Neurospora crassa OR74A: one gene and its partners. The protein of the gene in region 1 purifies or fractionates together with the protein of each later gene. This does not show direct contact. Links are inferred from orthologs where the notes say so. Each region holds a gene or a part of one and is shown on either strand. Other genes may lie near its edges. The genes, in order: NCU03794, NCU01595, NCU09843, NCU08668, NCU07956, NCU06418 and NCU01008.

Region 1 (4,260 bases):
TTAGACAGAGCTCTCCTACAAGACACCAAGGTCCCCCTGCGTGATGTGCTGTCGTACCCTTGAAGAACTTCTCCTCGAGCTCAGCCTTTGTGATTTCGATCTCGACGGTCTTGTCGACCTGCTTCTGGTGGCGCCTCTTGTGGTCGGCATAGTTCTTGATGGTCGTGGAGAACAGCGTGTTGATGAAGGTGGTCTTGCCGAGGCCGGACTCGCCAGCAACCTATCCACCCACGCCGTCAGCATTGGTTTTACAAGCGCGAGGTTCGGCAAGCTTTGGACAGTGAAGCGCACCATAATAGTAAAAGCAGCGCCTCTCTTAGCAACAATCTTGTGTCGCTGGTTGGGCAGATTGGCAATGCCAATCGGTGAGGCGCTCTCGGTAGTGGCAGGGGCCATCTTCAGCTGGGCGAAACACGAAACTGGGAGATAATTATGGGTAGAGGATTAAGTCACGATCCCGTTGCTGTAACGGCGAGAAGAAGCACCGGCAATTGGAGAAAAAGAGCGTCAGGCGGGATGCGTGGTGTACGGGTATGGTGGTGGTCGTGAATGGGAATCGAAATTAGGTTGGTGTTGACAGTGGACGGGTGGGAGCGAGAGGCAGACGGGGGATGGAACTGCAGTGGTGAGTGGACGGGGGACCCGTCGTGGAGCTCTGTGCTTTCGTTCAGGGGAATTTACTTGTTCAAATTTCCACACCACATTCATCTGGCCCAACCCAGCACCACACACCCACGCAGGAGAGAGCACCAGCGACGGGGACGGGAGCGCCAGGCCAAACCTAGCCCACACTGACTGAACCCCAAGCACTCCAGGCACTGCAGGGCCGCGGCAGCAGACGGACGGAGCAAGCAGCGAGCAAGCAGCATTCGATTCCATCCTCCAGATGAGGTGCCTGGGCGGGGCCACGGCAGCCGTCTGTGATGATGCCGAGAAGGCGCACGGTACACGATCCATATAATCCAATGGCACCTTTCGAGCCCGGCATTCTGCAGTAGTGTAGAGCTGCCACCACACAAGGCCGCTCTTGACTGGCTGCGCGGCAGGGAAATGAGTGGACCCTCCCCTTTTCCACTTGCTTCCCACACTTCCCCAATTCCAGGTCCCCAGAGACGGACCTACGCTGGCAGCTCTCCACTGAAACGCGCTTGCCAGGTACCCTCGCCGAGCATTTAATCGATGCGTGCCTTCCCTGCTAGCGCCATTGGCGGTGATCAGCCATTCATTGCCATGGAAACTTGGTCGACCCTTTGACCCTTTGATTGCCAGCTCTGCCAGCCTTGCACTGTGCTTGGTGACCGTGCTTGGTGGTGCCGTGCAGTGGTTGGTCTCGCTGCGGTCGGTGAGGCTGCCAGATACGCCAAGTCTTTTGCCAGCTGGTGCCAAAGCGAGGAGCTAACCCGACTCCATTCCCCGCCAAAAAGTTTATGAAATTTTTGGCTGGCAGAATCGCCATTGAACGTACGGGCGGTCTAGGCGCAACAGCAGCAGCCTGTAACTGAACTTCTGTTCCACTTACCTATACAGACTCGAAAGAGTCCTCCAGTTCCTGTACATAATCGAATCCCCAGATACTATCCCAGTTCTGCTCCATCTCCAACGTTGACAGTCGAGGCATGGAATAGTGTTTGAAAATGAAGACCGACTTCAAGTTTTCTAATCTACTGGGCACAGTCTACTGCCAGGGCAACCTCTTGTTCAGCCCGGACGGTACCCATCTCTTCTCGCCCGTTGGCAACAGGGTGACAGTCTTTAACCTTGTCGAGTACGTCTCAAGATTCCCTACACACCTGCCTGGCGCATGGCTTGTAAGCTGGCTAACACGGTCGCAGTAACAAATCATATACCCTTCCCTTCTCCCACCGAAAGAACATTGCGCGTATCGGTCTCACGCCCCAGGGCAACCTCCTACTCTCCATAGACGAAGATGGCCAAGCTATTCTCACCAACGTGCCCCGGCGCGTAGTACTATATCACTTCTCCTTCAAGGCTCCAGTAACGGCTCTCTCCTTTTCGCCATCGGGGCGCCACTTCATTGTTGGACTCGGCAGGAAAATCGAGGTTTGGCACGTTCCCTCAACACCCGACGCCAACGCCGACGGCGAGCTCGAGTTTGCGCCCTTCGTCAAGCACCATACCCACGTCCAACACTTCGACGATGTCCGTCACATCGAGTGGTCCCACGACTCGCGATTCTTCCTCACATCTTCCAAGGATCTCACAGCAAGGATATGGAGTGTTGATCAAGAGGAGGGGTTCACACCTACAGTTCTGTCCGGTCACAGGCAGGGTGTCGTGGGCGCGTGGTTTTCCAAGGATCAAGAGACGATTTACACAGTCAGCAAGGACGGCGCCGTATTCGACTGGCAATACGTTGCGAAGCCTGGACAGGACGAGGATATGGTGGACGACGATGACCTGGCCTGGAGGATAGTCAACAAGCACTATTTCATGCAGAACAGCGCCACCGTACGATGCGCCGCTTTCCATCCCGAATCGAACTTGCTGGTTGCCGGTTTCTCGAACGGTATCTTTGGCCTCTACGAAATGCCCGACTTCAACATGATCCACACTCTCAGCATCTCCCAGAACGAAATTGACTTTGTGACGATCAACAAGAGCGGCGAGTGGCTGGCGTTTGGCGCATCCAAGCTTGGTCAGCTTTTGGTGTGGGAGTGGCAGTCCGAGTCTTACATTCTCAAGCAGCAGGGCCATTTCGACTCGATGAACTCCCTCGTTTACTCTCCGGACGGTCAGCGGATTGTCACAGTCGCCGATGATGGAAAGATTAAGGTGTGGGATACGGAATCGGGATTCTGCATTGTTACCTTCACAGAGCACACGAGCGGCATCACTGCTTGCGAGTTCTCCAAGAAGGGCAATGTCCTGTTTACCTCGAGTTTGGACGGTTCCATCAGGGCTTGGGACTTGATCAGATACAGAAACTTCAGGACCTTTACAGCACCAGAAAGGCTATCTTTCTCTTGCATGGCAGTTGATCCTAGTGGCGAAATCGTGGCGGCTGGCTCCGTTGACTCTTTCGACATTCATATTTGGTCTGTCCAGACTGGCCAGCTCCTAGATCGTCTTTCGGGACACGAGGGCCCTGTGTCATCCTTGGCCTTTGCGCCTAACGGCGGTCTTCTTGTGAGTGGTAGTTGGGACCGCACTGCCCGTATCTGGTCCATCTTCAACCGCACACAAACAAGCGAGCCTCTCCAGCTCAACTCGGATGTTCTCGACATTGCCTTTAGGCCAGATTCTCTCCAGATTGCCATCTCCACTCTCGACGGCAACCTGTCGTTCTGGTCGGTCTCGGAAGCTGAGCAGCAAGCTGGTCTTGATGGACGCAGGGATGTCTCCGGCGGTCGGAAGATCGGTGATCGCAGGACTGCGGCCAATGTTGCCGGTACCAAGGCTTTCAACACCATCAGATACAGCACAGACGGATCGTGCCTTTTGGCCGGCGGAAACAGCAAGTATATTTGCTTGTACTCCGTCACCACCATGGTTCTCCTGAAGAAGTACACCGTGAGCGTCAATCTTTCAATTCAAGGCACTCAAGAGTTCCTCAACAGCAAGCTTCTCACCGAGGCTGGACCCCAGGGTCTCCTGGACGAGCAAGGCGAGGCCTCCGATTTCGAGGACAGGATAGACAGGTCACTCCCAGGCTCCAAGCGCGGCGACCCCTCCGCACGGAGGAAGAATCCCGAAGTGAGAGTAAACGGCGTTGCCTTCTCCCCGAACGGAAGTGCTTTCTGCGCCGCCTCCACAGAAGGTCTTTTGATCTACAGCCTGGACACCACCATCCAGTTCGATCCCTTTGACCTCAACATGGAGATCACCCCCACCTCTACCCTGGCCGTGCTCGAGAAGGAGAAGGACTACCTCAAGGCTCTCGTCATGGCTTTCCGCTTGAACGAGGCCGGTCTGATCCAGCGTGTCTTCCAGGCCATCCCTTACACCGACATCCCTCTGGTGGTCGAGCAGTTTCCCAACGTGTACGTTGCCAGGCTGCTGCGGTACGTTGCCGCGCAGACCGAGCAGAGCCCTCACGTTGAGTTCTGTCTTCTTTGGATCAAGGCTCTGGTCGACAAGCACGGCGCGTGGTTGTCTGCCAACCGCGGCAAGGTCGATGTTGAGCTTCGTGTTGTCGCAAGGGCTGTTTCCAAGATGAGGGATGAGATCAGGAAGTTGGCCGATGAAAACGTCTACATGGTTGACTACCTCCTCGGTCAGGCGAGCGCTGCTAAGGAGACT
Region 2 (3,691 bases), on another chromosome or scaffold:
TATACCCGCGACTCGAGCAGCTGGACTTCGACGAGGACGAGCTTGTCGTCCATGCGCTTCAGCTCACGGAGGAGACCGTTGATGAGCGTCAGGGCATCGTAGTAGGACTGCTTGGCCATGTACAAGGCGACAAGACGGGTTTCGAGGTTCTGGCGGAGGAAAGAGCGGCGCTCTGATGTGGCCCATTCTATACACGACTTGGTGACGGAAATCTGGATGTCGAGAGAGTCGGGGATGGCTTCGAAGAGGTCGAGGAGCTGGCGGACTGCATGTATCAACCAGTGTTAGTATCCTCATGAGCTTGTATAGCGCGTCAACAAAGCTGATGGCGGGGTCGTACCAAGCTTTGCCGTCTTTGCCTTTGCGAACGAGGAGAGAACTGTGCGGCTCTGGGTTACGAGGTCTACAAGGCCTTGTGAGTTCCTGTACACGGTGATGGGAGGTTAGTGACCGTACCCCTCCTCGATGACCACGACATACACCAGCCACTCTTACTTCTCGTCGCGATAGAGCTCTCCCAAGTGAATCAAAGCCGTCTCGTATTCCCGGATGGCCGCGTCAGAGGTGACTGATGGCGGCTTGGAGATGATATCCTTGTAAATCTGCTCGGCCTGGCGGGGGTCGGTCGAGACCACCTTCTGCGCCTCGCGCACTCTCTCTGATGCTTCGCCCTGGGCCATGGTGTCGTGTGCTGGTTGTCCCGGTCGCCAAGTGGTAAGCGGTAGTAGTATAAATCGAGAGTTTGGCTATCGGATTGGATGTGATGGTGATTACTCGAGGTCGCGGGGGGATATGCGGCGTGTCGGTGGTCGCAGAGTGTCGGCTTGGAAGTTGTGGTTGTTGTGGTGTTGAAGTTGGAGCTCAGGTTGTTCTGTCGTGACGAACCTCACCACCCGTCCTCTGCTGGAGCACAGCTGTTACCCAAGTCAAGTGCAGGCGGCATGTCCACTAACGAGACCTCTGTACACTACGTACCACCGCTAGGTAGCCAGGCGCGACGTAATTAGCTGGAGACATCCACCTACAGATCCCTGTCAATTCACGGCAGGCAAGCCCAGCTCTCGGTAGCTCAGGCCCTGTCCATCCTTTTGGCAGCGAAGCTCTAACATTCCAAGCCTAAGCGTTTAGCAAACTGCCAAGAAGGCGGTCAAGATTCTTGCCGCCAGACCCCGCCAAAATTTCTCCAGAGGAAGGGGAACGGGAGCTGTCAAACTGCCCGTGTCCGACTGTGCTCCCCAATTGGCGACAGACGCTCCCGGCATCCATCCATCCATCCATTCATTAATTCCAACGTCGATAACTGTATCACAGCACCTGTGCTTTGCGACAAGGTGTACCGACAGACTTCAGCCATACCCGGCCTCATCATATACAATTATTCACACTCGATATCCGTCGGCCTTGGTAGCCTTCTCATCCACGACCCCTTCAACATCATCAACAGAGAAACACCGTCACCATGAAGGTACTTGGGCCTACCACACGCGACGCCCATCAAGATTCGCAAACCCACTTCTAGGCTCACCACTGACACTTCTACAACAGATCAAAGCCCTCAGCCGAAACATCTCGGCCCAGCAGGCCCCCGGTAACGACGTCACCCGCGCACCCCGTAACCTTGCGCCCGAACTCCATCCCTTCGAGCGCGCTCGCGAGTACAAGAGAGCCCTCAATGCCGTCAAGTTGGAGAGAGTCTTCGCCAAGCCCTTCCTCGGCCAGCTAGGAAATGGCCACGTTCAGGGTGTCTACAGCATGGCCAAGGACAAGAACTCGCTACACACAATCGCTTCCGGTTCGGGTGACGGTATCGTCAAGGTCTGGGATCTCACAACACGGGATGAAGCATGGAAGGCTGCCGCCCACAACAATATCGTCAAGGGAATGACCTTCACCAACGACAAGAAGCTTCTCACATGTGCCACCGACGGCATCAAGCTTTGGGACCCTTACACCAAGACCGACTCCCCAACGCCACTCGCGACATGGCAGGAAGGTGGTCCATACACGGCTCTCTCGTTCCACCGCAACACCAACTCCTTCGTTGCCTCTTCGGGCGCCGGCTGCATTCGTATTTGGGATCTCGAGCACAGCACGGCTCCTCAGACGATACAGTGGCCGAACCACAGCGACACCATCACCGATGTTTGCTTCAACCAGGTTGAGACCTCGATCGTGGGTTCCGTCGGCACAGATCGCTCCGTTATTCTGTTCGATTTGCGCACCAACATGCCCGTCATCAAGACTGTTCTCAAGTTCGCCGCCAACCGCATTGTCTTCAACCCCATGGAGGCGATGAACATGGCTGTTGCCTCAGAAGATCACAACGTCTACCTCTTCGACGCCAGGAACTTCACCAAGGCGCAGAATATCCAAAAGGGCCACGTTGCGGCGGTTATGGACGTCGAGTTCTCTCCTACCGGCGAGGAGCTCGTGACTGGTTCCTATGACCGCACAATCAGGGTGTGGCGCCGTGACCAGGGCATGTCTCGCGATGTGTACCACACCAAGCGTATGCAGAGGGTGTTCCGGACTACCTGGACTATGGATTCCAAGTACCTTCTCAGCGGTAGTGACGATGTACGTTGTCTCCTTTCTTTTCTCCAACTGTTCGATCAGCACAGCTAACGTGATATACAGGGTAACGTCCGTTTGTGGCGTGCCAATGCCTCGGAACGCAGCGGCGTCAAGGCGACCAAGCAGAGACAGGCGCTCGAGTACAACAAGACCTTGGTCGAGAGGTATTCTCACATGCCCGAGATCAAGCGCATCTCCCGTCACAGGCACCTGCCTAAGGTGGTCAAGAAGGCGGCCGAGATCAAGCGCGAGGAGCTTGCGGCCATCAAGAGAAGGGAGGAGAACGAGAGGAAACACTCCGTCAAGCAGTTCGAGAAGCGCAAGGCAGAGAGAGAGAAGGCTATCCTGGCCAAGCTGGAGTAATTGCGGTGTTCTTGGCTTTTGTGTGCCATGGTTTGTGCGGTCTCTCGCGCTTCACGCTATGCGTTTACTATTTTCTTTTGCATTGGGCGGCGTTTCTTAGTGGGAAAATTGTCAGGCTATTTGTTGATGAGACTTTCAGGCAGCGGAGTCTCGCTCGGTCTATACGGAGTTCGATACCACATATTCGATAGTATTTTGTTTCTGTGTTCGTCTCTATGTGCAAAGCAAAGCGACCATGTCTTCCCATCTCTTCCAAAACACCTACACCACTCCTTCAGGCGCCCTGTGGACTCCGGCCTCGCTGCTTGACTCTCTTTGCATGGTCACTTTTTTTTCCTCGATTCCTCCTTTCCGGTTGATCAAGGTTCACCTGATTTCCCACAAGTCAGACGGTCGATTTCGTGGACCTGACCAGTACCCAGAAACTGGCGTCAACATCGTGCAGCATTGGCATGAACCTCATGGCCTGGATAAGAAGAACGAACGACATGGAATCGGACGGTCACGGCGTGGGTTGGGATAGTTGGAGGGAAGGATACGGGTCGTTTGTGGCTCATCCGTGGCCATTGATGTGGGCTACCCTAGATCTAGCGCGGCCTGCGTTATTGGATCAAGTAGATGGCTCTCCTGTCTCGATCTGGCTCGAAGACCGGTTGGCAAACAGCAGTCGGAGTGTGGCTCAGCCATCAACACAACCAAACTAGTTGTAGTTGTGCCCTTAGAAAATGGGAGCCCACCTCCGGGCTTTGGGTAT
Region 3 (4,237 bases), about 3.5 Mb from region 1:
GGCGCGGAAAAGGACGAGGCATTTGTCCAGTCCGCTGCGTCGGAGGCTGCGTTAAAGTTGTTTCCTCGCTTAAGCAATGTCCTATCAAAGAATTACTATGCTTAGGTCGCGACTACTAATATAGTTTCACGGTGTTAGAAAATAAAATAAATAAAAAAAGGAATGAAAGGATACACGGCATGTCTCTGTCCGCTATTCTTGTATCTATATCATGAATTAGCCGTGATCTAAACCTCTAGGCCTAGGTCTCAAGGAGAATTCGAGTAGGAGTAGTACCATGTCTCTAGCAGCAGCAGCAGTATGGGTAGGTATCAGCGGGCCTCCCCGTCGTCGTCGTCATAACTTATACTATCCAACTATGTTAAAGCACCAGATTGTAGATAAAGACTAGAACTTCAGTTTGACAACCTGAACACTTTGGTGGCCCTGAGACTTCATTGTGTTCCTTCTCCTTCGTCGGTCATCCGCCTCGGGGGTGCAGTGTCTTCAACCTCATCTGCTCGGCAACTGAGTTGCAGTCATGACAAAGAAATTAATCATGTGATCGGATGAGAAGCGAGTTTCACATTGCTTTTCTCCATCACGACGAGCAGCCAGCGCGTTTGATGATCTCCGAAGTTTGATCTTTTTTTCTTTTTCTTTTCATCTCTTGATGATTTTGTTTTCTCATCTCAAAGTCACGAGTAAAAAAAAAAAAACAAACTGCGAGTAGCCGGCTTGTGACGTTGGTGTTTTTGTTGCACAAACCGTTATCAGTTTCATACGAGTTGTCCAGGCGCTTGTTATTGACTGAATGGAGTGTAAAGAGAAAAGGTTGTGACTTGTAATTGATATTCTCCGTCTTCACTCTAAGCTTAGCTCATGGTTCAAGTAGTTTTCATACGCGCTTCGTTATAAATACATCTGTGGCTAGATAAAACATTCAAGTCATCATCAATACGCACGCTGTTGTTGTTGTTGTCAGCAACAGGTTACTAGACTACCAACTCGCTACCATTTCGAGGCCAATGCTCCAGATACACATCCCTAATGACATGTTAATCATAGATTCACATACCGAGGAGATGATGATTGTCAATGAGCGTGTCATGCATCAAAATACTCTTGGATTTTTACTCCAGTCAATTAATTATATGTCAGTCGACTGTCTCCAGTTGATAAAGGCGACAACTTACACGACTTACAATCACGACGGCGGGGATGCAGCACGATAAGATAACGCCAAACATTCACACGACATGGAAGCCCAAGCAGACCAATCAAAAGAAGGAACTTGTGAAGAGGACGGGACCCTGGAAGCTTGGCGTTTTCTGGCCTGGGGCTGGTCACTATGGTACCTAGTCGCTGTAGGTAAACTTTATCGGCTTGGCGGGGCCTCCAATCGATGGCTCCAACCAATGGCTTTTGCATCGCATCGCCGTCAAAAAAACTAAAATTCCCACTTGGAGATTTCAACAATTCGTGAACTTTGAGCCCCGCAAAGTCACCACCACGACAAGACCTCGACGCGTGCCTCCCTCCCCCAATCCGATTTCGACCCTAATCGACTTCCCCCGATTCCGATAACCGAGTATCCTCTCTTCAACACTACCCGAACTAGACGGAACGAACCTACCACCCATAACCAATCCGTAACCATGGCAGCCGAAGTGCAGCCGCTGGCGACGCTCAAGTTGCCCACGGTCGTCAGCCCCATCACGGCCGAGCAGCGCTACTGGAAGTCCTTCAAGAACCAGAAATCACACACCTCGACGGCAGCATGGCCCATCTCGCACATCAGCTTCCCCGGCTCCAGCAACGGCTCGGCCGCCTCGCACTCCCTCGTCGCCGCCGCCAAGACCAACGACCTCTTCGCCGTCACCTCGGGCCCCCGCGTCGACATCTTCTCCATCCGCAAGCGCGAGCTGCTCAAGACCATCGGCCGCTTCGACTCCCAGGCCCACAGCGGTGAGATCCGCGCCGACGGCCGCGTCCTCGTAGCCGGCGAGGACTCCGGCAAGATGCAGGTCTTCGACGTCGGCACCGGCACCCGCGCCGTCATCCTCAAGACCTGGCACGTCCACAAGCAGCCCGTCTGGGTCACCAAGTGGTCACCTACCGAGCTGACGACGCTCATGTCCTGCTCCGACGACAAGACGGTCCGTCTCTGGGACCTGCCCTCCAACGCGCCCTCGCGCCTGTTCGCCGGCCACCAGGACTACGTCCGCAGCGGCGCCTTCATGCCCGACCGCAACAACCTCCTCGTGTCCGGCTCCTACGACTCGACCGTCCGCGTCTGGGACGCCCGCGCCCCCGCCGGCTCCGTGCTGACCTTCAAGCACGCCGACCCCATCGAGGAAGTCCTCCCCTTGCCCGGCGGCACCACCCTCTTGGCCGCCACCGGCTCCGCCATCTCCGTCCTCGACCTCGTGGCCGCCAAACCTTTACGCCTCATCACCAACCACCAAAAGACCGTCACGTCACTCAGCCTCGCCTCCAACGGCCGCCGCGTTGTCTCCGGCTCTCTCGACGGGCACGTCAAAGTCTTTGAAACCACCAACTGGAACGTCGTCTCCGGCTCCAAGTACCCCTCGCCCATCCTCTCTCTCTCCGTCGTCGCCGCTGGCTCAGGCCACGAAGACCGCCACCTAGCAGTCGGCATGCAATCCGGCGTTTTGTCCTTGCGCACCCGTTTGTCAGGCGCCACGGCGGAGAAAGCCCGCGCCCGCGCCGCCGAAGACGCGCTCATGGTTTCAGGTGCCTCTTCCAAGCTCGCCAAGATCGACTCCGCCAAAGCCAAGCGCAAGCGCAACGCCGCCTCCAACAAATCCATGGCCTTGCTCGGCGAAAACGTCGACGTGATCATCCCCACCGACGCGCCCAACTCCGCCGGAGGCCGCAAGCGCCGCGTCAAGCTCAAGCCGTGGCAGCGCGACTTTCGCGAGGGCCGGTACGCCGCCTGTCTGGATGCCGTGCTCGACCTGTCCTCTCCGGAATACCAGCCCGTGACGGCCCTGTCCGTGTTGGTGGCGCTGCGCCACCGGTCTGCCCTCCGCGAAGCCCTGGAAGGCCGCGACGAAGTTACTGTCCTGCCTTTGTTGAAGTGGGTCATCAAGTACATCTCGGATCCGCGGTACGCGACCGTGTGCGTGGACGTGGCGTTCCAGCTGTTTGATATCTACAGCGAGTACGTGGGCGGCAGCTCCGAGTTGGCGGATCAGTTTGCTGTGATGACGGGTAAGGTGAGCAGGGAGGTGGAGAAGGCGCAGATGGCGATTATCACGAATGGTATGGTGGAGAGTTTGATGATTGGTGGTGCTGAGGCTTAGGAAGCTGAGCGAGCTTCGGACAAGGCCCTTGAGGCTGCAGTTTGACCAGAAGAAGGTCATGATGGTTGGAAGGGAAAGGGAATGGAAAGATACGGATGAGCTGTGTGGATGGATGGAGCATAAGAAAGATGTAAAGAACGGATGGGATGTGTTGTTATACCACAAAGCAGGAAGGACGGGGAAGGGGGAAAAAAATGGAGAGGGTAAAGGATCCCGGATGTGTTGGTTCGGTTTGGTTCGGTTAGGTATCATGGTTTTTTCTTGATATCAAGCCCTGCATGGCGTCGGCGTTCAAACATTCTTTTTTGGCTTTTTGTACTAATCTGGGCTCACAAAAGTATACATACGGTCACATAAAATAAGGGGTTGGGACTAGATACCTCGAGATAGATACCTTAGGAGAATCAGTAAAAGCCATTCCAAATGCCAGGCTTATTGCGTGACCATGGACTCTTCTGGACGACGCCACCACGATCAAGAGCTTTATTGCAGTGTCAACATTCAGCGTATCCAATAGAATTATGACTATAAATGACAACGTAAACATCTCGCTCCAAAGTCCTCGCTGAAGATCGCTTCAACTTTCCACTTAGTCATAGTCCTCCCTCCTGACTAGGAGAATAGAATGAGATACAGAAAGAGTCTCTCCGGTGAGCCACTCACCACCCTCTGGTATCTGGCCAGACATCGAAAAGAACTCCCGGTCTGCCTCTGACGCCTGCTTTTCCAAGTGCCTTCCTAGGGCTGACTGTTGACAGCCCGACCAGAACTGCTGTCCCACTCTGTCATTGAAGACCGCCTCAATGGCGAGCCGTTCCCTTCTCGGGGGGTTTCCAACACGATAATACTATGTCGTCGTCTTTTCTGTTTTTTGCAGCCAAGGCATCAACCCAAGATGTGTTTGAGCATCAGATGCTTGCCGAACCAGC
Region 4 (3,228 bases), on another chromosome or scaffold:
CACGCCCAGCACAGCAACTAGGTTTCAAAAGGTATATATGTTCCCACAGGGTACAGCCATCCTCGACCGTTTGAATACATGCATGGAAGAACTTGTGCATCTGATCTTCACTCAAATAACGACAAGAGCGGTCTTGGCGGATATGCCCGATGATATAGTTTGACCAGGACGTATATTGGAGTATGGTGTCCAGGCGACGTTTTGAGAAATGTTCGCAACCTTCCTCATCTACGTCAAGCATACGCTGGATGAGTCCTTGAAGTATGCGAAGGGCGTAAGTCGGGTGAGTCGTTAAATATGATCCCCTTTTGACAGCATTTGCGACAGGACAATTGGTGAAGTTGTATCGAGTGTTGACCGTATCGTCAGGGGCACTCTTCCTCGTGGCTGGGATTTGGAATGTGCTCATGGTGGGCCAATTAAACCAAACGCCGGCCGGTTTCTGTGCAGCGTCGATAAGTAGGGATATGACAAAGTGACGGAAATGGAGATGCTCTCATAGCAAAAGGAAATCAGGTTGGGTATCAAGATGACTGAAGGCAGAAAAATATATACAATTGCCTAAGGGAAAGAAAATCAACACCACCCATCTCTAATGTCTCGGAGTCGCTTTGACGACAGAAATCCCACAGGTACATGAACGCTCCGTGTCTCAAACCTATTGTTCGGGGGCCAAACGAGAAGGTTAAAAGATCTTGCTGAGCACTCTTTGTACTTGCTCGGGCTGTGTCTCATCGAGCTTCCTCTTCTTGGCCAAGGGTATTTGCTTGAATGTTCTCCTCTTATCGTCGTTTGTTGTCGTCGTCGTCGTTGCCGCCGCCGAGGGAATAGTAGATTCTGTGACTTGGGCGGCACCCTCACCGCCCGCTTTGCTGCCCTTGGACGCCTTCTTTGCCTGAATGCCCTGCAGCACCTTGGCCCTCTCCACGTTGCGGACGAACTCCTTGTTTTCTTTGGTTGTCTTGGAGATTTCGGCGCGCATTCTGCTGGATCGCTCGGCGTTCTCAGCAGCGATTTGTTCGGTCAGGTTGTGCCACTTGAAACCCTTGAGGTAGAGCAAGTTCCAGATATCGTCGCGGTAGTAGGATCCCTTCTTGCCTCCGATTGGACGGGCATTGAGGAGTTCGCATGCCTTTTTGGCGTCTGCAAACAAACGGGTTTTCTTGTTAGCGTCTTTGTACTTGGGTCTCAGCGAGTCTCACGGAATGAAGACCTACCCTTCTTCTTGACAAACTCAATCCAGCCTTCTGTAAACATCTTCTTTTTATTGCCTCCGCTGCGAATGCGCTTGCGTCGCGCAACTGGGTCCTCGGGGGCCAGGAAAATGCGATTCAACTTTCCGTACGGCTCCAGCAGGGAGCGCAACTTGGCAGGAGTCATGAAAGGTGGTACCCTGGAGATGTACACCACTCCCGACTTCTTGATGGCCTCCTCCGTGACGATGAGATTCTTCTTTGTGAGAGGCTTCGTCATGCCCGGAAGGTCACTCGCTAGTACCGACTTCTTCTCCTTCTCCTTCTTTCCATCCTTCTTTTCCTTTCCATCTGTTGTTTCCTGGCCGTCCTTTGCAGGTGCATCCTTGCTTTCAGCATCATCTTGGTCGTGTTCCTCCTCTGCGTCGGTAAAGTCGTCGGCTTCGCTGTCCTCGTCATCGCTCACTCTTCTGCGCTTGGCGTTACGGCCACCCTTTTGGAAATCATCCTCCGAGTCAGAACCGTGGCCCGCATCGTCGTCGCTATCGCCAGCATCGAGGAACTTGTTTCTGACATCGTCCTCCGGCATTGTCGATGGATGATTGACTTGTGTTTCTAATTGGTGGACTTTTTGTTGTATGCTGAAAGTTTCGTAGGTTGAATGATTGGGTCGTTATGGGGAGATTTAGGGCAGTCGGGTGTTTGTTTGCGTTGGAGAAGGATCACGACGCGATTCGCAAGTCTTCTTTTGGCGTGGAAGCGCTGGACGGACATGGCTGCTGCTGTTTCTCAAAATTTCTGGCTCCACTGGGGGCCACAGGCAGGAAGGGACCGTGCACGCAGGGCCGATAAGAGATAACAAAGTATGAATGGGAATGGAAGTTCAGGTTGGCTGATCCCGTCCCCGCCTTAGGTTCCTTCCGAGGTGGAGTTCATACACTGCAGACCCGACCCCGCGCTGCCAACAACTCTTTATCTTATCAAAGCTCCCCCGGCCTGCCGCCGAGAAACGGAGCGGGAGCCACTCTGTGTGCGGCAGTGTGATGTCGTGTTCCTGTTTGTTAGTGAGACGGCGACGGGAGGGGCGACATGGTGTCATTGGGTCATGGGAATCAAGTCGGTTTGCTCTTTTCTTCTTGTGGAAGGTATAACGAATTATAGTACTAAGTACTAGAGTAACTGAACTGTGTCTTTTCTTTCCCTTTGACTCGCTCTTCCTCCTTGTGACAACCAACACTGCATCCCACTTCACCATCCTTATCACTCGATACCTGGCCGATAAGCCTACTTGTAACAATGTCGGTCGAGGTGATCACCACCATCTCTCCCACCACGGGGGAACCCATCATCACTCGCAATGGCATTTCAGAGGAGGAACTCGTCCAACTGCCCGAGACTGCCTTCAAGGCCTTCCAAGGATGGCGCACTACCAAGTTGGAGGACAGACAGATCATCGTCAAGAAGGCCTTGAAGTTGCTGGCCGAGAAGCAGGATGAACTTGCAGAGGAACTCACCGTCCAGATGGGCCGCCCCATTGCTTATACTGCCAAGGAGGTTGCCACTGCCATCAAGCGCTCAGAGTATCTGCTCAAGATCAGCAACGATGCTCTGAAGGACACCGATGGCGAGGAGGAGAAGGGATTCAAGAGGTTCATCCGAAAGGTGCCTGTTGGTCCTGTTCTCATCATCTTTGCTTGGAACGTAAGTGGTGTCCATCATGTTGTTTTGACACTCCATCCGTCACCTCTAACTTTGCGCAGTACCCCTATCTTATTCTCGTCAACGCCTTGATTCCCGCTTTATTGTCTGGAAATTCGGTCATTCTCAAGCCCTCGCCTCAGACACCCACAATTGTCGAGCAGGTGGCCAAGGTGTTTTCCGAGGCTGGGTTGCCCGACGGAGTCATCCAGTACTTCCACTCGGGTTCGCCGACAGTGATTGAAACAATTGTGCGAAACCCCAAGATTGCCAACATTTGCTTTACCGGCTCGGTTGCTGGTGGCCTGGCCGTCCAGAAGGCCGCGTCCGATCGCAT
Region 5 (3,456 bases), on another chromosome or scaffold:
GAGACGCGACCAGAACCCGCTTGCTGCCGCCAGAAGCTCTTCTTTTGTGGGCCGATGAGGCAAATGGGGGAGGTGAGGAAGGTGAAGGTATTTAGACATGGAATCTGCTATTGATTCATGTGCGGGAGTCGGCTGGGAACCAGAACCGGAAGCCGTCTCGGTATTCGGTGGCTGCTGTGGTTGCTCGGACTTTTGCTGAGGAGAAATTGTAGAAGACTTGGCTTCGGCCTTGGTCTCGTCATGATCACCCTTGGTCTCTTTGCCCGAACTTTGGAATCGCTTTCCTGTCTTGCATAACGTTGTGGTCGTGGTGTTCTGTCGTATCCTTCGCAAGAGTAAAGCCTGCCGAGCCAAGTGGCCCATTTTTGCCTTTTGCGCGGCATTGCCGGATAGTGCGGATGCCTCTACCGTGCTCGTTGGAGAGGGGCTGGTGGTGAGCCCAAGGAGGAGTAGGCCTCCGGAGGTACAGCTTCGTAGGACATTATGGGATGGTTGTGACTGTTGATAGTGTAGTCTTTGCGATTTTGTTGCTGGGAAGAAAAAGCGACTTGCGGAAGAGGTAAATTGTCGCGTGCTCTGCTGCTGTCCGTATCGCTGATGGGACCCCAGCGATGTCGAGGGGCCAAGTCCAAGACTTTGACGACTCAGTAATGGCTGACAAGTTGGAAGCAGTATCGCGGCTGTGAAGAGATTCGAGGTGGTGTGAAGATCTCGTACTGAAGACCATAGCTGGCGGCCCAGCTGGGTCGTCGTAGCGCTAGTAGACATTGTTGAAATTCATACTGTCGACCGAGTAAGGGACCGACCTGTTCCTTTTTTTTTTCCTATGTTTTCAGCGACGATGGTGATGACGACAGCTCGGTGCCGTATCCATGGTCGGTCCTCGAGGCTGAAAATCAGATGTTGTTGCTTGGTGGTGGGCCGAGTCTAGAATGACATATGATGGTGCTCCTGCTCTGACCAAGAACCTGGAGTTTGAAAAAGCTGCCGGTCCAGGTCCCCGTCAAAAGTGCGTCAATGACGCTAACCTTGGGATTACAGGGATTCCTCGGTAACTGTTAGTGCATGGGCGTTGCGATTGGCAAGGGTCCTAGCCCCCATGCAGCCAATCGATAAGCTTCACTTGGGTACTCTTTTGTGGATCCACTGCTTTTTGTCAAGAATTTCCCCTCTGCGCTATCAAAATCGATAAACATCAAAATTCTAGAGACCGACGGCGCAAAAAGGCAGAACTTCGACTCCCAGATCTCCGCAATTCACGACTGTAACCCAGCATCCCGACACTTCTTTCGTCGCCCGTCACCAGTCTCTCCTCCACCCGATTTTCGAAAAATCTGCCATTACTCTTGGCCGGCGATTTCCCAAAATACTACCGACTTTAATCAACAAACAACCCGACTCGGCCCCTTGACCATCACCCACCGATAAACAACACATCTCGCCCAACATGCCTGCGCCAACAGCACTTCGTCAGCCTGTCAAGGCTCCCGCCGCCCAGATTCCTATCCAGACCGAGCAAGAGGACGAGCTCATTCTCGATGTCAACGAGGCCGTCAACCTCACCGATCCCAGCGCCGCCGCTCCCCCTTCCAATGACCAAGATGTGCAGATGGCTGTAGACGAGGAGGGCCGCCCCCGTTTCGCCCCCGGCCAGGACGTCCAGATCATTCGCCGCGCAGAGACCAGGAAAATTGGTATCCCGCCAAACCGCATGTCGGCCCTCAAGGCCAATTGGACCAAGATGTGAGACGGAAAACTACGGAAACATGTGTGAATGTTTGGGCAAGGAAGACTGACTGTTTTCCAATCAGCTACCCCCCACTTGTAGAGCACTGCAAGCTCCAGGTCCGCATGAACATCAAGGAGAAGCGCGTCGAGCTCCGCTCCAGCAGACACACCACCACCCCCGAATCCCTGCAGATGGGTGCCGATTTCGTCTCCGCCTTCGCCATGGGCTTCGACATTGACGACGCCATTGCCCTGCTCCGTCTCGATTCGCTCTATATCCAGTCCTTCGATGTCAAGGATGTCCGTCAGACCCTTGGCCCCGATGCTCTGGGACGTGCGATTGGTCGTATTGCAGGCAAGGACGGAAAGACCAAGTTTGCGATTGAGAATGGTACGTTCACCATTATGGGAGAATGGAAGAGATGACGCAGAAGTACTGACAAGATGTGAAAAGCCACAAAAACCAGAATCGTCCTCGCCGGCTCCCGCGTTCATATCCTCGGTGCCTTCGAGAACATTGGCATGGCCCGCGAGTCCGTCGTCTCCCTCATTCTCGGACACCAGCCCGGCAAGGTGTACAACAACCTCCGGATCATTGCCTCGAGGCAAAAGGAGAGATTCTAAGCTCTTTCTTTCACGAAAAACGGCAACAATGTGTTACACTTCTATTGCCGCTATTCTCACCTAATGAATGGTTCACGCACGGGGCTGCATGGTTCAGTCAACAAAAAATCGACGGTTTTCATCACATAAGGGGCGAAGGTGGCATTTCGGGAGCTACGCTTAAAAAGGGTTCTGGCGTTTAGGAGTTCATTATGCTTTTGCTTTGAGTTTGGAGAGTTTGAAATGGGCGATTCAGTCAGTCATGCTGGGGATATCTACGAAGGTGTGTAGAAGCGGGAGGAAGAGGACGGGATATTGGGGAGCTACCGCCTTGCGAATCTTTCAATGTGTGGTTATGATCTATACCCGGAGGACGAGAAGAGAAGACAATGAACAGAGATATTCACCAAAAGGCGGTTTAGTGCATATTGGCTGGCAAGGTCGATTATTGTGCAGAGAAAGTGATGTGGGAAACTGATCCAGTGCGCTCATTTGGTTGAGGTTCAATTCCATGGTGACGGCAAATCAAGCAAAATGTAAGGAGCTGATGTGATGGGCACCAATGTAGCCAGGTGAGCCACGATAGATTGGTTTCTTCAGGTCATACAAGTAGTAGTTATTTCCATCCATTCTCTTATCTCGCTTGTTCCGCATAAGTAAAGGTCTTGTTTGTTTTACAGTCCAGATGGCGAACCGTATATCGAAATAGCAGATAGAGCATAGTCAAACCCCTCGATATTCACCTACGATAGGTGGGATGAGACCATCTTAACCCGAGGAGGCTCTTTTTGTGCTCTGACTGACCAACTCCCATGACTCATCAAGCTTGTTGAAATAAAGTGAAGGCAAGACGTAGCAAAAAGTGATATACGTATGGGTATCTTCTGAAGAGCTAGGGTACCACCTCCGCACCATGAACCGTGTCCTGGAAGGACTTGCAACACTCCAAACTCCGTAATCATCTGTCACAACTTTAAGCAAAAACAATAATCCACTAGTCACCGCCGATTTCGTAGGCCTGACGAATAAGCCCGGTAAACTCCAACCCCATAACAGCTAAAGAAATGTGCGAATAACGTCTCCCAAAACCCAGTCTCCATGTTTATTCTCCAGGTCATACACTAC
Region 6 (4,027 bases), on another chromosome or scaffold:
AGTTCACTGTGAGTGAGCGGCGTTTCAGAAGAGACAGCCTGGAGAATCTACAGCATGATCAGCTCAGGCCTTCAAGGTTAACTTCACCATCTTGGGGAGCCAACCAGGTGGATGAAACATGCTTGCTTTGATCAACACAATTGTTTACACTTGAAGCAGGTGATAAGTTATAGATGACAATGAAGGACCTCAGCATATGCGAATCGAGATGAATATGAGGTATATCATCAAGCCATACGAAGCATGATCATGCCATGTAAACAAAACACTTTTACCTCCTTTCATTGCTCGATATTATCATGTTGATACCTTGTTCTGGCCTATTTGCCTGCTTATTCGATGGGGGCATTTGGGGACCAAATCGGTAGGCCACTGTGCCAGTAAAGTACCACAACGTCAACATGGCCCATCATGTTCATCGAAATGCCCGAGTTGGGTAAGGGCCGATAGCCCATGCATCGCCGGGGCAAGCTCGCGTGTGCCCTACCGCGGGTTCCACTCCAGACTTGGCCCGTTTAGCGGCGGCCATGAGGATCCGTAGTCTTGGGATCATCGTCAACGACTGTCCTTCTGTGGCACTAAATCATAACACAAGAAGGGGGCCCGTTGAAGGACATGATCTCATCTGTCGTAGTTCGTCCGAGCATCAAGACAACGAACGAGCTGCATCCTTGAGGTGCTGTCTTTCAGCCGACCGAACAAGCTGCTTTCCCTTCTGTTATCGATACTTATACTCCTTGTGTAGACCTTGTTCGGAAACCGTGCAGTCAGCATAACACCACCAGAAGCTGGACATTGCAGTGCTTTTCCGACATGAACCTTGATCCTAGACTGCTCATGCTTCTTGGCTCATTCCCAAACAAGAAGAAGCTCTCCTATTTTTTGCATTCTTCCAAGCGCCCAGAAGTCGCACTATGGAGATCAAACCAACGGTTTCTTCGTATTCCATGAGATGGAATGTGGAAACGAACAACCCCGTCCAAAACTTAAGCGCCGATGGGTTTGGTGGCTGACGCTTGTTATGCGACGTTGGCGGTTCGCCGGCGCTTCGGCTTGCGTTTCAAGGTACACTGGTGGGTCTTGCTGTGATGCTACCCTAGGGGCAGGCCCAGGCTTGCTTGCTTGCGGTCCGTGTGCGGACGTCGGGTCTTGGCGATCTGTACATATTAAAAGTTCGTGAATGGAAGGACGATGGGTATATAAGTGAGAATGAAACTCTAAGGATATGGGCACTTTATCACGATACACAGCGGTTCATACCCTCATGGTATCGTTCTGCGAAAGACATGTACATAAGGAGATGGAGGACGGCTTGGTGAGGCTCTAGACCGTTGAAGTGTTTCTGAAGCACCGAGGCACCCCCATAAAGTCCAAAATGCCACGCTTACGTAATGACGCTCAATGTGACATTTTTACAAGCACGCTTTCCCTTTTCGGTCACTCCCGAGAACCTTGCTGAACCAAAAATTTTGAATTTTGTAGCGGTCGCAAGTCGTTATCAGTTTATCGACTGATAATCAACACCACAGGAACACACATCGAATCTGCTAGAGGCGCCCATCACGGTCCTGGAACGAATGCGAAGAGACATCTCGCACCAAACATAAACATCCGTCTAGACCTTTTGATTCCAACTCCCGCAAATAAGGAGCAAACCAACAATGCCGTCTGCCACAGCCGCAAAGGCCAAAAAGGCCAATGCCAATGCCAACCTCAAATCCAAGGTTAACAAGGCGCCCGCCGTCACTGAGATTGATGAACAATCTGGTCACTCTGAGGATGAGTCCGACTTTGGGTCTGAACTAGATGTGGAGGATGAGTCGGCTGCCTCAGATGAAGAGGACGAGGATGAGGACGAGGATGAACACGATTTAGAGGAGGGCGTCTCAGACGAAGGGGAGGGCGTCTCAGACGAAGAGGAGGGCGTCTCAGATGAAGATGAGGACGAGGAGAACCAGAGCGCCGGATCAGGCTCAGACTCAGATTCCGATTCGCTAGACAGTGACGCCCCCAGAAAACGACGCCGTACCTCACCTACCATCGACGACATCGTTACTCAACTTGAAGACGAGGAAGAGGATGACACGCCTGTCGCCCCCGTCAAGCCTGTCTTCAATAACGTCCCATCCCGCATCAAGAAAAAGCAAGCTGAGGCGCCCAAGACAGAAAAGACCGAAGAGGCAACACCAGCCCTACCAGTACCAGAGCCTGCCAGCACAGTTTCTGTTCCTATCGACGCCAACACCACCTTTGACGCACTCAATGTCCGCCCATGGCTGGTCCAGTCTCTCGCCAACATGGCCATCAAGCGGCCAACCGGCATTCAAAAGGGTTGTATACCCGAGATTCTCAAGGGCAGGGACTGTATTGGTGGCAGTAGGACAGGTTCGGGTAAGACGGTAGCATTTGCCGTTCCCATTCTCCAGCAATGGGCTGCCAACCCATCCGCCATCTTTGGTGTCATCCTCACGCCCACCCGGTAAGTCCACTCCGAGTACCCCTTAACCCCCACAAACAATCAAACAATAGGTAGAGGCTAACCACTTCCACAGCGAACTCGCCCTCCAAATCATGGAGCAAGTCATCGCCCTCTCTCAGCCCCACGTCCTCAAAGCCGTCCTCATCACCGGCGGCGCCGACATGCGCAAACAAGCCATTGACCTCGCCAAGCGTCCTCACCTCGTCATTGCCACCCCCGGCCGTCTCGCCGACCACATCCGCACCTCTGGCGAGGACACCATCTGCGGTCTTCGCCGCGTCAAGTTCATTGTGCTCGACGAAGCCGACCGCTTGCTCGCCAACAGTGGCCACGGCTCCATGCTCCCCGACGTCGAAGAATGCTTCTCCGTCCTCCCTCCTCCTTCCGAGCGCCAAACGCTTCTCTTCACCGCCACCATGACGCCCGAAGTCAAGGCCCTTTCCGAGCGCCCGCCCATTCCCGGCCGCGCCCCCGTCTTTGTGTGCGAAGTCGACACCCAGCGGCTCGCCATCCCCGCCACCCTGCGCCAGATGCACCTCCAGGTGCCGGTCACCCACCGCGAGCACTACCTGCACATGTTCCTGCTGACCCCGCAAAACGTGGACAAGAGCGTCATCATCTTCTGCAACCGCACCAGCACGGCCGACTTTTTGCACCACTTGTTGCGCTTGCTCGACCACCGCGTTACCTCTCTGCACTCCAAGTTGCCGCAGAGCCAGAGAATCGACAACCTCGGTCGGTTCCGCGCCTCGGCTGCGCGCATTCTGGTGGCGACCGACGTGGCGGCCAGAGGTCTCGATATCCCCGAGGTGAAGATTGTGATCAACTACGACATCCCCCGCGATCCGGACGATTATATTCATCGTGTTGGTCGTACGGCGCGTGCGGGCCGCAAGGGTGATGCGGTGACGTTTGTGGGGCAGAGGGATGTCGATCTGGTGCTGGCGATCGAGCAGAGAGTTGGACGGCAGATGGAGGCATGGACGGAGGAGGGCGTCAACTTGGAGACGAGAGTGATCAGGGATGCGCTGAAGGTGGTGGGCGAGAAGAAGAGGGAGGCCTTGTTGGAGATTGAGGAGCAGAAGGAGGTGGGCGGAAAGAGGAAGAGGGGGAAGGAGAAGTTGAGGGCCATGTAAGCTGTCCTGTTGATGATAAGAATAGGGAGGAGAGGGGGAGCCGAAGTGGAGGAGGTAATGAAGGGAAAGGGGGTAGTGAATGATCTGATACCAAAAATATGTGTTGGGGTAGGGTGATAGATAAAATATTGAATAAGGGATTGAAAGAGATAAAAGCGATGCCAAGCTATTTTTCATATCTTGTGCCCATGGGGACTATGGCCCGGCTTCTACAAATTATGTCTTCGGTGAGTTTGACTCCTCAAAAGGATGAGCCACGGCCATCATTGATCCTTGTTTTCAGGTTGGAACAAATGCGAGGACATCCGGAGGATGATTCACCGAGCGGAGGTATGCATTTTGAAAGAGATTGCTTCATATCGCACTCCATTTCCTCACACATCATTGATTTCAAAGGCCAGCCCTCCGTCGT
Region 7 (3,246 bases), about 230 kb from region 1:
ATACCGAGGCCGATGGCGCGCCGCACCATCTTGGCGATCTTGCGCTGGTTGACGGGTTTCAGGCCGGTTTCCTTGGAGTGCCTTATCCGCCCAAAGGGGGTGATGTAGTCGGAGATGAGGGAGAAGTTCTGTTGTCCCCAAGGAAATTAGCATTTCGCCTGAGGCCAGTTTTCGAGACAATGGAATTGGGAAGGGAAGAGGGGTGTGTGAAGGAGGAGGAACAAGAGAAAGGGAGAGGGGAGGGAGTGACAAGAAGAAAAAAGAAAAAAAAAAGAAAAAAGAAAACATACACGATAGTTATCCAACGGACTAAACCCAAGCTCATCCACCACATCCGCCGCCTCCACCCATCCCCCGTTCCTGCCCTTCATCTCGTACGGTGACAGGTCGCGCGGCGCGTACACGTCGCCGTTGTTCCACCGGCGCCTCATCATGCGCATGTAGTTGTTGGAGGTCACCTCGGACTGGAGCAGCTCCTGCACCTTCTGGCTGTTGCTGCCATAGCGCTGTCCTCCGTCGACGTCGCGTGCGTTGTTGTAGCTGTCTCTTCCTCCCCGGCTGCCGGCGCCGCTGTTTAGCAGGTTGAACATGTCCGACTTGTACTGGCTCGAGCCGGCGTTGTTGTTGTTGTTGCTCGACGGCGACGAGGTGTTGGTGTTGGTGCGCGGGGCATTTTGGAAGGAAGTGGTGGGGATGTCGCGGACTGTTTGGTGATTGAAGGTGTTGTTAGCTTATGTGTTATGCTTATAGAGTTGTGGAGGGCGGCATATCGGGTTTGCGATCGACGGAGCGAACATACTGGCAGCGGCCGGTGAGGTGGTCGAGAACTGGGCGGTCCTCTGGCCGGCAGCGCGGCACTGCCTGAGCGCAGAGGAGAGGAATTGACGAGAGGACGACATGGTGGTGGTGGTGGTGGTGGTCGTCGTCGTTGTTGTAATGGTTACAACAGCTTGTAACAGCTGGGCTTTGGCGATGTGCAAGTCCTCTCGGGGAAACCACACACACACACACAGACAAGAATGGAGCTCCCGTTTCGCGATCGGTCGGAGTCGGGAATCGGGGATCGGGGGTTCAGTCGCGACGGGGAGATGCGGCGGCGGCGGGCACGGTCGGTGCGGGCAATTGGAAATTGGAGCTCCGGGCCGGCAGCGACACTTTTTGGCGGATCAATCTCTTTTCGGCGCAGTGGCGGGGCCTGCCGCGGACCGGGGCGCTGTTGCGGGCTTGCGGCTGGCAGCTGGCAGGGCGGGAGCTGATTGCTGGAAAGCCTGAAGCGTCCCGGTTTATTTTATGGGGTAAAATGGAGCTCGCTGCGGGCTAAGAGTGCGCTAAGCAAGGGGCCCGGCAGGCGAGAAAGTGTGGGGCAAGAGTTTTCATTGCAGCAAAAGTTCAACGCCAGAACACCACCACCACTGCAGCTGCTGCTACTATCAGATTACGATACTGAACCATCCATCGCCTCCACACCCGTCTGATTGATACCGCATCTTTGATACCTTTCACAACGACACACTTCTCGACCCAACTAGAACAGCACACCATCAGTGACACAGACAACGAATTGCCAACATGGTCCGCAAGCTCAAGCACGCGGAACAGAAGCTTCTTCGGAAGACCGACTTCATCAACTACAAGTCGGACAACAAGCACAGAGATCACGATGTCGCCAGGTACGCTCATTCGCCTTAAGTGGTTTTTGTGTGAGAACATCTTGCTAACAGTCACACAGACGGTACATGATTCAGAAGCCCGAGGACTATGTATGTTAATCCAAGCAAGGATGAGATGAGGCTCACAGTGACTTTTCATAATGACCATGACAACTGACCCCCTTCTAGCACAAGTACAACAGGATGTGCGGTGTAAGTTTCATCAACTAACCTTACCTATATGAAACTGTTCATGACATACTGACATGATATGCCACAGTCCCTCCGCCAACTCGCCCATCGTCTCAGTTTGCTTCCTCCAGACAACGAGGTGAGGCGAAAGCACGAGGAGCTTTTGCTCGACAAGCTTTACGACATGGGAATTCTGTCGGTATGTCTTCCGGTATCGAAGTTCAACTCGAGCAGTTATTAACGTCCAATCACAGTCCAAGTCGAAGCTGTCGCAGGTGGAGCACCAGGTCACAGTCTCGGCCTTTGCCAGGAGGCGACTGCCCGTCGTCATGACCAGACTTCGTATGGCCGAGACCGTGCAAGCAGCGACCAAGATGATTGAGCAGGGCCATGTCCGTGTGGGTGTCGAAGAGGTCCGTGATCCTGCTTTCCTGGTGACGAGGAGTATGGAGGACTTCGTCACTTGGTCTGTCGGCAGCAAGATCAAGCAGAACATTATGAAGTACCGCGACAAGTTGGACGATTTCGAGCTTCTTTGAGTGGCGGAAGAGCATGGCTGCGGGCATATCAGGAAGTGGTAATGGTACGTTGGGAGCTAAGGCTGGAAAATGGATCACTGGGAAAGGACATACTACTGCGTTGTTTGCAAGTTGGCATTGGGAGGAGTGCTCATATGCGAGCAATATTCTGTGGCGTTTTAGGGTAAAGGCATTCAAAATATGTGAAAGGGATTTTAAGATACCACCATTCGGGTTTACAGGTCAATCACTCGGAGTTGCGGAAGTGTACCAGCTGCGGGCTCCCCACTCGAACTTGCAGTGTCTCACTGTGACCAAAGCCTGGTGAGTCTTCCTTCCGAACCACTACCGACTAATAGCCGACAATATCACTGGCATACTTCTGGGTTTTAGGGGTGCTCCTGCGTTCTTTCTGTTCCGTTCCTCGAAACTGGCAGCACACGAAATAAAACATCCGACGAGCCTCGCTCCTTCCGTAAAGTAGCTCATTTACAATGGCTCACTCTTTCATGAAAATCGTCCCTTTGGCCTGCTCCTCTTCTTGGCATTTCCTCTTTTTTCTCTGCATCTTCCGCTCCCACTCCCTAGCGAGACCTGACCTAACAAATGTCTCCGTATTCCTAACACCGCATCATTCAGTTCTTCACTTCATCCTTTATCCTCGGCTTTATCTCTATCCTATATGGTCCTGGTACTCCTGGTTGTCTTCTCTGCTGTTACCAAGGTCTCCTTATACTTCTCGTACCTCCTTACCTTGATCCTCATCTTGTCATTGAATCAAGGTTGGATTTCTTTCGACACCCTGAGACACCGGGCTCCATATCAGATCAGCATCGCTCTGTGGGAGTTCGTCCCCCGGAAGAGCCCTCCCGACACCAAACCGCCAG

The links.
Region 2: the proteins of NCU03794 (region 1) and NCU01595 purify together in Saccharomyces cerevisiae (affinity purification with mass spectrometry, with the first as the bait; 6 studies listed by BioGRID). This does not show direct contact. The link is inferred for Neurospora crassa OR74A from reciprocal best matches to the Saccharomyces cerevisiae genes PWP2 and SOF1.
Region 3: the proteins of NCU03794 (region 1) and NCU09843 purify together in Saccharomyces cerevisiae (affinity purification with mass spectrometry, with the first as the bait; 7 studies listed by BioGRID). This does not show direct contact. The link is inferred for Neurospora crassa OR74A from reciprocal best matches to the Saccharomyces cerevisiae genes PWP2 and UTP15.
Region 4: the proteins of NCU03794 (region 1) and NCU08668 purify together in Saccharomyces cerevisiae (affinity purification with mass spectrometry; 3 studies listed by BioGRID). This does not show direct contact. The link is inferred for Neurospora crassa OR74A from reciprocal best matches to the Saccharomyces cerevisiae genes PWP2 and ESF2.
Region 5: the proteins of NCU03794 (region 1) and NCU07956 purify together in Saccharomyces cerevisiae (affinity purification with mass spectrometry; 4 studies listed by BioGRID, with this or other methods). This does not show direct contact. The link is inferred for Neurospora crassa OR74A from reciprocal best matches to the Saccharomyces cerevisiae genes PWP2 and PNO1.
Region 6: the proteins of NCU03794 (region 1) and NCU06418 purify together in Saccharomyces cerevisiae (affinity purification with mass spectrometry, with the first as the bait; 3 studies listed by BioGRID). This does not show direct contact. The link is inferred for Neurospora crassa OR74A from reciprocal best matches to the Saccharomyces cerevisiae genes PWP2 and DBP8.
Region 7: the proteins of NCU03794 (region 1) and NCU01008 purify together in Saccharomyces cerevisiae (affinity purification with mass spectrometry, with the first as the bait; 5 studies listed by BioGRID). This does not show direct contact. The link is inferred for Neurospora crassa OR74A from reciprocal best matches to the Saccharomyces cerevisiae genes PWP2 and IMP3.

The regions. Positions count from the first base shown.
Region 1 is NC_026505.1:2,437,194-2,441,453, reverse strand, and holds the start of NCU03794 (periodic tryptophan protein 2), read left to right. Parts: upstream 1-1,460; 5' UTR 1,461-1,634; coding exon 1,635-1,765; intron 1,766-1,832; coding exon 1,833-4,260. Other genes in the region: NCU03795 (cell division control protein 12), read right to left, coding at 58-220, 292-396. UniProt on the Saccharomyces cerevisiae protein: Required for bud-site selection and cell separation. Also involved in nucleolar processing of pre-18S ribosomal RNA.
Region 2 is NC_026502.1:2,998,065-3,001,755, forward strand, and holds NCU01595 (SOF1), read left to right. Parts: upstream 1-1,202; 5' UTR 1,203-1,459; coding exon 1,460-1,465; intron 1,466-1,545; coding exon 1,546-2,577; intron 2,578-2,637; coding exon 2,638-2,937; 3' UTR 2,938-3,191; downstream 3,192-3,691. Other genes in the region: rpn-6 (26S proteasome non-ATPase regulatory subunit 11), read right to left, coding at 1-265, 341-423, 496-680. UniProt on the Saccharomyces cerevisiae protein: Required for ribosomal RNA processing.
Region 3 is NC_026505.1:5,923,452-5,927,688, reverse strand, and holds NCU09843 (WD repeat containing protein 57), read left to right. Parts: upstream 1-1,455; 5' UTR 1,456-1,637; coding exon 1,638-3,308; 3' UTR 3,309-3,737; downstream 3,738-4,237. Other genes in the region: NCU09844 (amidohydrolase), read left to right, coding at 1-105. UniProt on the Saccharomyces cerevisiae protein: Involved in nucleolar processing of pre-18S ribosomal RNA. Required for optimal pre-ribosomal RNA transcription by RNA polymerase I together with a subset of U3 proteins required for transcription (t-UTPs).
Region 4 is NC_026504.1:4,160,041-4,163,268, reverse strand, and holds NCU08668 (pre-rRNA-processing protein esf-2), read right to left. Parts: upstream 1,957-3,228; 5' UTR 1,783-1,956; coding exon 1,218-1,782; intron 1,144-1,217; coding exon 686-1,143; 3' UTR 501-685; downstream 1-500. Other genes in the region: NCU08669 (betaine aldehyde dehydrogenase 2), read left to right, coding at 2,490-2,894, 2,954-3,228. UniProt on the Saccharomyces cerevisiae protein: Involved in the small subunit (SSU) processome assembly and function, and in the 18S rRNA synthesis. Required for the early cleavages at sites A0, A1 and A2. Stimulates DBP8 RNA helicase ATPase activity.
Region 5 is NC_026504.1:1,226,305-1,229,760, reverse strand, and holds NCU07956 (pre-rRNA-processing protein PNO1), read left to right. Parts: upstream 1-1,196; 5' UTR 1,197-1,447; coding exon 1,448-1,743; intron 1,744-1,811; coding exon 1,812-2,119; intron 2,120-2,182; coding exon 2,183-2,352; 3' UTR 2,353-2,956; downstream 2,957-3,456. Other genes in the region: pod-1 (mitochondrion biogenesis protein), read right to left, coding at 1-768; NCU07957 (hypothetical protein), read right to left, coding at 3,453-3,456. UniProt on the Saccharomyces cerevisiae protein: Required for small ribosomal subunit (SSU) synthesis. Has a role in the processing of early nucleolar and late cytoplasmic pre-RNA species. Recruits DIM1 to nucleolar pre-RNAs.
Region 6 is NC_026503.1:1,328,383-1,332,409, reverse strand, and holds NCU06418 (ATP-dependent RNA helicase dbp-8), read left to right. Parts: upstream 1-1,227; 5' UTR 1,228-1,661; coding exon 1,662-2,479; intron 2,480-2,552; coding exon 2,553-3,615; 3' UTR 3,616-3,792; downstream 3,793-4,027. UniProt on the Saccharomyces cerevisiae protein: ATP-binding RNA helicase involved in 40S ribosomal subunit biogenesis and is required for the normal formation of 18S rRNAs through pre-rRNA processing at A0, A1 and A2 sites. Required for vegetative growth.
Region 7 is NC_026505.1:2,664,392-2,667,637, forward strand, and holds NCU01008 (U3 small nucleolar ribonucleoprotein IMP3), read left to right. Parts: upstream 1-1,370; 5' UTR 1,371-1,569; coding exon 1,570-1,670; intron 1,671-1,729; coding exon 1,730-1,760; intron 1,761-1,838; coding exon 1,839-1,862; intron 1,863-1,929; coding exon 1,930-2,040; intron 2,041-2,095; coding exon 2,096-2,380; 3' UTR 2,381-2,746; downstream 2,747-3,246. Other genes in the region: NCU01007 (mito ribosomal protein S18), read right to left, coding at 1-128, 291-703, 800-899. UniProt on the Saccharomyces cerevisiae protein: Required for the early cleavages at sites A0, A1 and A2 during 18S ribosomal pre-RNA processing.